Schizosaccharomyces pombe: one gene and its partners. The protein of the gene in region 3 purifies or fractionates together with the protein of the main gene of each other region. This does not show direct contact. Each region holds a gene or a part of one and is shown on either strand. Other genes may lie near its edges. The genes, in order: iss1, pla1 and cft1.

Region 1 (3,756 bases), on a different chromosome or scaffold from region 3:
TAGAAACAAATAAAACTTGGAGATAATAGAAGGAAATAACTCACTCTCTGTACTTCAGCGACATCATTAGGGACGGATTCAACCAATTCGGAAACAGTCCCCAACTTAGTTTGTAGTTCCTCTGCAAGTTGGATTTGGCTAAAAATTTCTTTGCTACGGACATGATTAGAACAAATTTTGTACATAAGGTAACACATACTCTAAGTCATCTAAAAATTTTTGAGTATTAGCGTTTAAGCTCGAGTATCTCGTCGTTGCATTAATAGCTGGATTAGAAGGGAGTTGCCTGTTTTTTTGTTAATGAAAAAAAAATTTAATAATTAACTTACGTTGTTGACGGTTGCTGCTGAGCTGCAGAAAAGAATGGAGTAGTTTGAGTATTATTGCTTAAACCAAAACCAGTTGAACCAGACGGTTGTGTGGATTGACCAAAAAGGCCAGCGGAAGCTGGTTGTGTAGAAAATTGACCAAAAGTCGAAGTATTAGGGCGGTTTTGATCAAATAGACCTCCTGTAGTTCCGATGTTAGACTGTCCGAAAAGAGAAGTATTTGCTTGAGCAGGCTGTGTTTGCGATTGTGTTTGATTTTGACCAGATAATCCAAATAATCCTCCAGTAGGGGCTGCTTGAGCAGGTTGTGCTTGTGTTTGATTCTGATTGAACAAACCACCAGGTGCTTGAGGTTTAGTAGTGGAAGCTCCAAACAGGCTGCCACCAGGTGCCGCTTGAGGGTTTTGTCCAAACAAATTTAGGCCGGGGGTAGTAGATGTAGCGTTTGGCTTATTTCCAAACAAGCTTCCACCAGTTTGAGGTTTTGTTTGACCAAAAGCTCCTCCTGTTACGCCTCCAAACCCAGTCGAAGCGGGCGTATTGGCCTGCGTATTGTTACCAAAAGTATTAGAAGAAAAAAGTCCTGTGCCTGCAGAAGTACCAGTATCTGAAAAGGTTAATATATGAATAAGCACAAAATTCGAAAAGTAAACTTGAAGACTTGTTCACCTAAAGAAACATACTTTGGTTTTGGGTTCCTGTGGACCCAAATGAGGGTGTTTTATTTAACCCGAACATTGCTTAAAGTATTAATACACGAATGTCCCTAGTGTAAATACCATGCAAAGATTATCATGAAAAACCACTCAGGTTATCTTTTCTAAAAAGGGTAATTGTAGAATCACAATCAATGATTAATATTATAATTAAGCAAAGATGGAAAAGATTAGTTATCTAAAGTTTCAAATTGAACTAGCTTTCAGGGTATCGTATAGTCAAATACTGCTGTGTTCGCAGAGCAAATTCAATTGTTAGTGTTAACTACAATGTGGCTCACTAAGTTGGCTTTCACGAGTGTTGGTCTGTTTCAACCCGTTTTAGCGCAAAATATTTTTACCCAGGTAAATGAAGTACGCTATGAAGTCCACTAGTATATACCGTACAACTCGGTACAATGTTTAGTGGACTAATGGCCCTAAGTGGTAAAGAAGAAGGAATCCATAATTTCAGGTGCGAGACTCAGTCAATGAATGGACTTGCCCCATATACATTTTAGAAGTGGGTTTTTACTATGTCAAATGCTGATCAGCACATGGATGTTGATGAGGATGAATATTTATATGGAGAAACCATAGAGGAACGGAATGATGGAGTTACAGTGTCAAATGCCAAGTCACCAGAGCAAGCAAGTGAAGAAAGCGATGATTCAGTAAGATTTCAATTAAAATGATACTGCTAACTGCTAATTTTGTAGGATATTGAATTTATCATTGAAACAAAGCCAGGTGAAAGAGCAGAACCATTAGGGTATGTAAACCAAAATAATTGATTTCAGATTATACTAATAATGTTAGTGGATCGATTGCAACATTAGGTTCAACCCGACCTTCTGCTAAACCTCAAGTAGAGAAAACTGCTGTCGAAGTAAAAACTACAGAACCCCAAGATTTATCGACAGCAGAAACTGCACCTAAAGTTGACATTGACGCTGTTCCTACAATTGATGGTAAAAACATTTTTGAGATTGATTTGGAGTCTTTTGATGATAAACCATGGCGCAAGCCTGGTGCAGATATCTCAGATTATTTTAACTATGGATTTGATGAATTTACATGGGCTGCTTACTGTGCCAAACAAACGACTTTGCGTGACGACTTTAGCCCCCAAAAATTTATGGCAAGTCTTGCTCAGATCCCGGGTCCTTTACCTTCTGGCAACGTACCATCACCTGCCGAGTTTCAAGCTATGATGGCTTCTGGATTTCCTCCATTTATGCCTATTCCTCCGCCTATTGGAGGCCCACAAGAGGATATGGGGTACTCGCGCAATTTTCCAGTCCATGCATCTTCAAACTATAATACTACACATACATCTGGTGGTGGTGTTCATTCAGGTGCAGCTACACCTAATGCGTATGTAAATAACAATCCTTCATCTTCTAGACGTGAAAGTGAAAGTCCAGCGAATTCCCCTAATATTACATCGAGTGCTGGTATGACGCATGCACAACCTACTCATAATCCTACATCGAGTTATGGGAATGGAGCCTCTACGAACTATAATGCCTCAAGACCTCCTAGTAACCATCCTCACAGTAGCAACTATCCTTCCTCATCAAGGCGAAAACCATCTCCGGACAGATACTCCAACTACTCCTCTAGAGGTTCTGGCGGCCGATATCGACGCAACAGATATTAAGATAAATACAATAACGTTTGTGTATGCAAATCTTAGGAGAATCGTTTTAATTGTATGCTATGGGGTGTCGACTACTTCTACAAGGACAACGGTTTCAAAAGTTAAAAGCTGGTGAATGAAATAATATTCATAAGATCATAAACATGTATACTCATCATTACTATGGAATTCTGTATTAACAACATAAAATCAAAACTGAAGATACTTCAGACACATCAAAGCAATGACGGGTAATCAACTGGGCAGCAATTAAGCTTGGGTTTCATCATCAATTTCTTCAAGGGCTCTTTGGGCGCGGGTTTTGGCTTGCTTGGATACATTAGGATTATGCATAGTAGCTTTATAACCTCCTCGGACATTTTCAATGTTCTTGCCCTCAAGTTGATCTTCTTCGACCAAATCACCTGTTTTCATAGGATCATCAACAAAACCCGACTCATCTCCCAACACATTTAGACCCTCCTCGTTGTCAAAGTCTGCATCCTCATCATAATCACCGAGATCCTCATAATCAAGATCACGGCCTCCAGCTTGAGCGGAATAATCACCAGTCTCTTGGCCGGAAGAATGACTTTCTATATAGTCTTCGGCTCTTTCTTTGGCTTGTTGTGATACATTGGGATTGTGTAGGGTGGCTTTCTTGCCAGCGAGAACACGATTAGGATCAGGCATTGTTTATAAATAAAATTGGAGTTCTTTCTGATTTAATAAAACGGCTTACAAAAAGTACTACGGTGCGAAATATTACTTCTTGAAAATTCGAATCGATAGTGATGTACCCCGTGCTCTATATATAATATTTGTAAGAGTCCTCGGAAATTGTGACATCAATTTATTTTCCATCCCATTCAGCATTTCGTAATGAGAATTGCAATCGTATTTTTGCTTTTGGGTTAATTCAGCGACAAATTAGCCCATTTGATTTTACGTAGACTATTTCGCTCAACAGATGATGCGGTACATCCGCTTTTCACTCGTTAATTGAAAGTAATTGAAACTAGCAGCTCTATCGATGCCATCATGTGGCGATGTGTAAAGTCTATATTTCATTCTCACGTAAAGTAGCATA
Region 2 (3,756 bases), 180 kb from region 3:
GCCAAGAAATATCAAGTCTTTTAATTGGATGACCTAATAAAGTTAGCATAATTAATTTCAAAATGTAGTATCTTGCCTTTCTTCTTTTCAAGTTCAAGCCCTATATAACATGTTGTAGTGTAAACAGGAAAAATTTGTTTTTCACCATTTTCAGAACCATCAGCTTTACTCTCAGTATTGTCGGCTTTCTCTTCATTAACTGTATCGTTGGCTAATTTTTCATGATCCGTAGATTCATATGCGACTTCAAGAGTAACGCCGCTAGCTACTTGTTGAGCTTCTTCTTCACTGGAGCAATTATACACTTTATCAAATCCTTTATTGAAAGGATGTGCCAAAGCAATAGCATCAACAAGCTCCAGTCTAGTAACCAAATGACGAAGCTTAGATTCAACCAAACCTGCCCACTTCAATTGAGCTTCAGCTGTCTTAGCAGCTGCTGTGATCGTAAGATAATGCTTATAACGATGAAAAAAGTCGTGTTTTTGAAACAAAGCTGACCAGGGAAGAGCCTTGACCATTATTTGGTCAGCAATTTCTCCAGCCCGAACCATTTCGCGAAGGATAATTGTTTGGGTGGATAAAGTAATGTTATGAGTTGCACACATTGATGGATAAGCCGGGGTTATAATTGGCATACGGTGAGCTTTGTCGGATGGATAAAGTTTTGGATTCCAGATACGTACTTGTAAGGGGCCATCTTCAATGGGCTTTAACAATATTGGTTGAGGCCAATTCCATTGATGAAGAATACGAAAAAATTTAGCAACAATCACAGAAGATACTGCATTCGGATATAGTTGGCAAATTCGAGCTACCATCATGGCCCAGGCGACTCCTCCAGGAAATCCTACGACATTAGCGTATATTGCACGACGTTGAGCCCAAAACTTTATGGCTCTTAAAGCATGCTTAAAAACAGCACGATTAGGGACAAGCTGCAGAATCTGATCCGTAACACGTGTACCATTCAAACTTAGCACACATCTTTCTTCAACACCCTTTAATAAGTTATTATCAGACAATTCGAGGTCGCGGGGAACACGCGGAACTGAAAGACGAGCAAAAATTAAATCTATACTTATTCCCAAAAATTTAAACTTAATAATAGGAACATAGGCGTCAGGTACAGCAGCAAGGTCAGTTACCTCTTCTCTTTCTCGAAGCATAGGTTCCAAGTCCTGAAAGAAATTGTCGCGAGAAACATGCTTGGGTACAACGACTAGGGTATCTATGTCTGATCCAGGTCCATAAACGCCCAGTCTATAACTTCCGTACGTAAAAATTTTCCCCCCTGCCTCATTAGCCATCTTTTCGTTCATATGTTTGGCAAGTGATACTTTCTTTACAAATTCTGTCGTTATTTGTTGCAACTCATCAAGAACCTTTACTCTTTTTTCAGATTCGGCAGGAGATTCAAACAAGTTTTGGTTCTTCAACTCATTAATTAAAGCCGTATTCAAAGCATTTTCCTGTTCAGTAGCAGGTGCAGTACTAATTGGCGGTGTAATACCCCATTGCTTGGTAGTCATGCTTTGAAAACAAAAATTGGAGTCTTGAAAGGTAGCTGTTTTAAATTATCCTAACCTTTAAAAACAACTGGTTTAAAGCGTACTAATGCTAAATGTGTAGATCTGGTTAGCATTCGTTTAGGATTTAAGGCATAAATACGCAATTTCACAAAGTGCGTTATCTTATTATAATGTCAAAAAATTCATTTACAGTTGCACTGAGACATTTATTTCGATTAAATCAAATTTAATTTATCTGGTAAATTATACAATTGTTGCTGTTTATCATATATATCTTGACAGTGCACTATGTTCATTATCTGACAAACCGATTGCTCCTGGTTTTGTATTTAAAAGCTTACCCGTTAAATTCCATCCTTCAGATATGCATTTTTTTTGGTTGAATAAACTAGCGACTTGAAATGTAAAAATAATTTATGTTGCTGAGAAGTGTAAATGATTCAGAATCCACATCTATTTATTGGATTTACCGCAGTTGTAGGGAAACTGTCGAATTATTGATGACAAGTTCTCCAAAACTCTTTGCAAACAAGTTTCAATGTATGAAATTGATTCCAAACAGTAAAGAATTATTATGCTCATAAAGATTATCATAGCCATGTTTCGAGAGTTTAGATAAGCAGCCGAAATCTATGCAAACTGGCCTGCAAAAGACAACAAATCTTCGTCATTAAGATATTGGGCCATAATTTGAATTCCCATTGGAAGCCCATTGTTCAAAGTACCGAAAGGTATGCTAACGGATGGTATTCCAGCCATATTCGCTGGAACTAACATAGTATCTGAAAGATGACTATAAGAGGACGGGGTTTCAATGGGTTGACTGGAATTAAAAAAAGAAGGGGTAACTATGAAATCGATGTCACCCCTGGGATCATCGACAGAAAAGGAAGGTAGAAAAAAGTTTTTGTTGAATTCCAGCTGTATGGCTCGGCGAACGTATCGAGCCTTAGAAAACAAATCAGAGGAATTCCTATTTGTAAATATTAGTAACTACTTAGTAAATCAGTTATATCATACATTCTTGCTAGTGAATAAGCGCCTAGCAGTAGCCTCTTTTTCACTTCGTCTCCTAAAAAAAAAGAGCGTGCAGTAGATGAAATTATTTCCTCTTCGAACTTTTCATCTAAACAATTGCCAAATGCGATAGTATTATATTTAGCCAAATTTGAAGTCGCTTCTGCATAAGCCATTGTGGAATATACACTGTTAGCGTATAATGAAATTGGAAGCTGTATTTCTTGGACAAGATAACCATTTGATTTCAGAAGAGATATGAATTCATTCCACTTATCTAAAACGTTTGGATGAGTCTCAGAAACATTCCAGTCAATTGGAATTCCTATTTTAATTGGCTTCCGCGATAATTTTTTGTGCTGCTCTTTAACAAAATAACGAGCTTCTTTAGTTAAACAGGTTGAGTCATTTATGTCGGGATGGTCTAAAACATTAAATACTTTGGTAACGCCCTTAACATTATTTGCAGCGATACCCACTGTGTCAAAACTATTGGCAAAGGCAAGCATTCCATATCTCGAAATCCTGCCGAAAGATGGTTTAAAACCTACACAACCTACGTAAGCAGCAGGTAGACGGATTGATCCTCCTGTGTCTGAACCAACTGATGCATAACATATATCCGCCGCGATTGCAGCAGCAGCTCCTCCCGAGCTGCCCCCAACATCGTAATTACTATCCTTAACAACAGGATTAACAGTGCGACCAAAAAGATTGTTTTCGCTCTTGACTCCCATTGCAAACTCATCCATATTTGTTTTACCAAGAATAATACCGCCGGCTTTCTTCAAGCTTTCGACAATTGACGCATCAAACGGAGAATTGTAGTCTAGTTAAACCGCAATTAGTAACTGAAATATATTCTTATTGTCTACCCTTCAACATATTAGAGGCTGCCGTGGTTAAATTTGTCTTCGTGCAAATATTTTCCTTTACTGTAATCAGTTTCCATTTTAACGGAAGCTTCTTTTCCAGTGGTAATTTACTAATTTCAACAAATGAATCATATAGATATTCGGCACTATTTATTGAAGTTAAAGACTTAATTTTCGCATCATTTAGAATGATACTAGCATATTTAGCTGCAACTTCTTTTAATAAATTGTTATATTTATTACTCATTCGACCAATCAATCATTGGACGTTAACTTCGTGCAAATAATGTATTACCCAACTTGTTGTATAGTTGAATAAAGTAGTGAGCTAT
Region 3 (3,756 bases):
TGCAAAAAGTGCAGAACTATCAGGGGAAACTAAAGAAGCTGTCTTAACATCCGAAAGTCTATTTTGTAAATCCGTTTTGATCAGCCTTTGGGATTTTAAATCCATTTTGTAAAGAGCGATTCCACCACCCAAAAAGACAACGATTATACAAGGATCACAAATGCTTGTTGAGACGACTATTTGTTTTTTGCTAAAATTAAAAAGTTGAGTAAGACGTAAATTTGAGTCGTATACACGCAGGCTAGTAGGACATATCTGAACCATACGCATACCGGAAAGCAAAGAGCCGACATTAAGTGTCTTCGAGTCCTTAGAAAAGTCAGAATGCTGTACCTCATCAAAGGTTTCACCTGCCAAAAATATAAACGACTCCTTCTCTTTAGAAAGTACAAGATAAGTTTCTAACTCGGGATTTGAGTATTGAGCTTGTATTCTGCTTTTCATATTTCGTAGCTTTCCTGAAATACTAACGGTCCATAGTGCTTCACAGCCGTCAAATTGAAATTCACCGGCTATTAATGGAAATATGTTTCGCCGAAAAACAACAAGACCGCCAGCACCGTCAGCTCCTGCTGTACCTACCAATTCCAGAGGTCCATGGTTGTCTTGAGGGAAATAGGAGTACGATCCTGCCTTTCCAACGGCAAAGTCAGTAATTGGACCAATATTTGTCAATACATCACATATTTCTAGACGTAGCGGGCCGTTTTCATAAGCAATCTTCCTTTTAGAACCCACGGATTCATCTGTTTCATAAATATCAAGCATATCATCCATTTCAGCATCGTTCGTTCCATAAAGAGTATCGTCTCCTTCATCCAATCTTACCTCCTCATTAGTAGTACGCCGAGACCAACGAAGCAAATAACTGTCAGTAGTCTGGCTACCTAAGAAAACAAGATTTTCGCCAGCAGGCACTGCACAAGTGATTCCTGATTTAAGAAAGTCATCATTAATTTCTAAATCCAAAGCTTGTAATGACAGTCCTTTGACTGATTTACCATCAAGTAAAAAATCTAGATAAAAAAATTGACCGGACGTGTGCACCAATACGACAAAGGGAGTTTCAGTCTTACTACTTGTTAAGGGAATGGCAATAGTCCCCTCTAGTTCCAGGTTAAAATCAGACTGGTCTTGAAGTGGGAAATCAGTACACTTTGAGTAGTAAGAATTTACGCCGATACCGACAGTCCGGCCAGCGGAATCAACATATATAAGCTCATTTCCACCCAACAATAAAGAACCTCCAAGAGGCGTAGGTATTGAAACCGATGCGTAGATATCGTAGGGAAGTGATTGAATGGTAGTAATAACGGCACTAGCGCGTTGCTCTAAGTCTAAAGTTACCAATGAAAAGAGAACGGTATCCTTTCTTAATGGTAAAGTAACGGTAGAAGTCTGTTCGGGACTATATAGAATGGCTAGTGTAGGCTCGCGATATCCGTATAGAAATTTAACGTCAAGAATTCGTGAAATACTAGCATCCAGTTGAGAAGAAGCTAAGACAAAGGAGGGTTTGTAGGCATAAGATGAAGAAATTTTAGAATTTTCTATAGCAGCCTCTTCCATATCCAAATCTTCGTTAGCTGGATATGGAATAATAGCCATCATATCAGTTAAAAATCGTAATAGGCAACAGTCGGAATCCGGATCCACCAAGAGCTGTGTAGGGGTATGAGAGGAGCATATATTTGAAGATTTGACATCTTCATAATAGTGAAGACTATTAGTTACGAAGCTCTGACTTTGCATATCCCATTCCAACGTAGATACTTTTGCATAGTCGGTAAGCATAATTAACAAATCACACCCATTACTTCCCTTTCCCTTCAAAGCCGATATTTCCGTTATAGTCCCGAAGACTTTAACTTGAGAAACGAGTCTAAGAACGTAGGTAGTTTGTTCATTGGTACGTATGAGATGCATATTTGTCTCCATGAACGCCTGACTTTCATCGATTATGCTGGTGGAGAATTCATTCTGCAAGGAATCATCTAATGGGAAACTGGATTCATCTTTTTGAATCTTTTCAATCTCAAAAAGGTGTAAAGAATTCACTTTACTTACCACTAGGTTATTAGATACAAGAGAAGTAAATTGGCCTTGGACAGCATTTTTTATAACTGTAGAGTCCACTAGGTCTTGAAATATGGTTGACATAAAGCAAATACCACATTAAATGTGCCTTTCAACTGGGACGTTGAGCTTCTGGAAAGGATGAGGTAGAGTAAGGAGTTGGACGCGTCCAAATACAGTGTACAAAATCTACAAGTAGGTTTTAAAAGCAATTCATTTTAAATAACTAGTAATTTACATAATAATAATACAATCCTTTTTACTTATGAAAAAGGAACCGCTTGACAAGGAAAGTCTGAAGCGTGTAATACCATAAGTCTTATTTGTTCAGGTTCGCGAACATAGGATCCGAGTGCCACAAGGACTTTCTTTTTATCCCTATTATTATTGTTCAGTAAGTAAAATAGCACATTACAATTACAGTAGTTGACATACTCTTTATGGCACCTTAGATACAAAAATTTTGATTGTCGATGCAAAAAATCAATAGGAATTGCAGACCCAAATATTCCAAATGACTGATTTAGAGCTAATGTGATGAGATGTCGTAAAGAAATATCGTCTATTTCATCTATAGGGGTAGTACCTCCAACCCTAAGTATGTCAGTGAAACAAATTATCCCAGACTTCCTTACACTTCAAGTATTATATATGACCATTCGCTTTTTAAACGTTGATGAAGTACCATGGCCTCTTTTTAACTCAAAAGGAAGGCAGATCGTGTCTGGTGAAAGTTGTATAGAGAAGTAAACTTCTGAGTAAGTACGATACCAACACGTTTAAGGATGCATTTGCTGCAGTTCCTGTGGAATCTACAAGCTCGTAATTATCATACTAAAATTATCGTACCATCACATAAACTGTTATGTGAAGGCTAATCTTCGAATAATTGAGGTACTGTTTAATTATGTTTCCTGTTTTCATGCCTGTAGAAAGCAAACAGCTGAACAAAATGAGGAAGCCTTCAATTCGAAGTGTAATATTAGAAAAATTTAATAACTTGAATTATTGCTATTTTTCATAATTTAATTTTGCTGGTTGATAAAATATATCCAGATACACAATTTACGAAATGCGGTCTTATAGCTAGCATGAGACAAAGACGGCAACTCGCGGAATTCTTCATATAAACTTTTCCGAGTCCGAGGTTCTAATAAATTCGTATGTTTGTATTAACTAAATTGAGACATAAACTATATTCCAGACTTGGTTAAAATCCCCTTATCTATTCATTTTGTCAAGATATCTATACCGATTGTAGCAAAATTTGATAAAAGCAATTTTCAAAATGTTTTACTGAGAATGCAATGAATCAGGGATTGTTCTTTCATAACTCCCCTCGTCTCGTGCACTTTAAAATTAACTGGTACTCCAGATTTTTATCAAGGCCTCCGCGCAAGAGAATATGTAAATGTTTCCCTTTACGAAACCAGCTTCTTTTTCCATTCCTGGTAAAGTTTTGTCATATATTCTAAAGCTTTCTCTTGCTCTGAAGGCAAAATTAATTCCACAGGAGTAGAGAGGACTCTTTCATGACCAAAACGAGTCACGGCTGCTCCCCACTTGATAGATTGATCTTCTTTGGTAGCATGTAAAGCAGTCCAAAGAAAAGCAAAAGCAGCAACGTATGGAGAAATTGTATGCCAAGGACTTCCAAGTAAGCGACAAATATAGAAACCG

What was found.
Region 1: the proteins of cft1 (region 3) and iss1 purify together in Schizosaccharomyces pombe (affinity purification with mass spectrometry, with the first as the bait; one study listed by BioGRID). This does not show direct contact.
Region 2: the proteins of cft1 (region 3) and pla1 purify together in Schizosaccharomyces pombe (affinity purification with mass spectrometry, with the first as the bait; one study listed by BioGRID). This does not show direct contact.

Annotation. Positions count from the first base shown.
Region 1 is NC_003424.3:752,144-755,899, forward strand, and holds iss1 (fip1-like pre-mRNA polyadenylation factor), read left to right. Parts: upstream 1-1,527; 5' UTR 1,528-1,560; coding exon 1,561-1,698; exon of another isoform or gene 1,699-1,743; coding exon 1,744-1,796; exon of another isoform or gene 1,797-1,843; coding exon 1,844-2,687; 3' UTR 2,688-2,936; coding exon of another isoform or gene 2,937-3,359; 3' UTR 3,360-3,533; downstream 3,534-3,756. Other genes in the region: nucleoporin Nup45, read right to left, coding at 45-153, 200-286, 330-936, 1,013-1,067; protein cum1, read right to left, coding at 2,937-3,359.
Region 2 is NC_003423.3:926,765-930,520, reverse strand, and holds the start of pla1 (mRNA cleavage and polyadenylation specificity factor poly(A) polymerase Pla1), read right to left. Parts: upstream 1,637-3,756; 5' UTR 1,533-1,636; coding exon 77-1,532; intron 34-76; coding exon 1-33. Other genes in the region: gta1 (glutamyl-tRNA amidotransferase alpha subunit), read right to left, coding at 2,163-2,505, 2,553-3,378, 3,425-3,671. UniProt on the Schizosaccharomyces pombe protein: Polymerase that creates the 3'-poly(A) tail of mRNA's. May acquire specificity through interaction with a cleavage and polyadenylation factor (CF I).
Region 3 is NC_003423.3:1,111,743-1,115,498, reverse strand, and holds the start of cft1 (mRNA processing protein Cft1), read right to left. Parts: upstream 2,230-3,756; 5' UTR 2,161-2,229; coding exon 1-2,160. Other genes in the region: RNase P and RNase MRP subunit Pop8, read right to left, coding at 2,340-2,454, 2,512-2,670, 2,712-2,764; erg27 (3-keto sterol reductase), read right to left, coding at 3,498-3,756. UniProt on the Schizosaccharomyces pombe protein: RNA-binding component of the cleavage and polyadenylation factor (CPF) complex, which plays a key role in polyadenylation-dependent pre-mRNA 3'-end formation and cooperates with cleavage factors including the CFIA complex and NAB4/CFIB.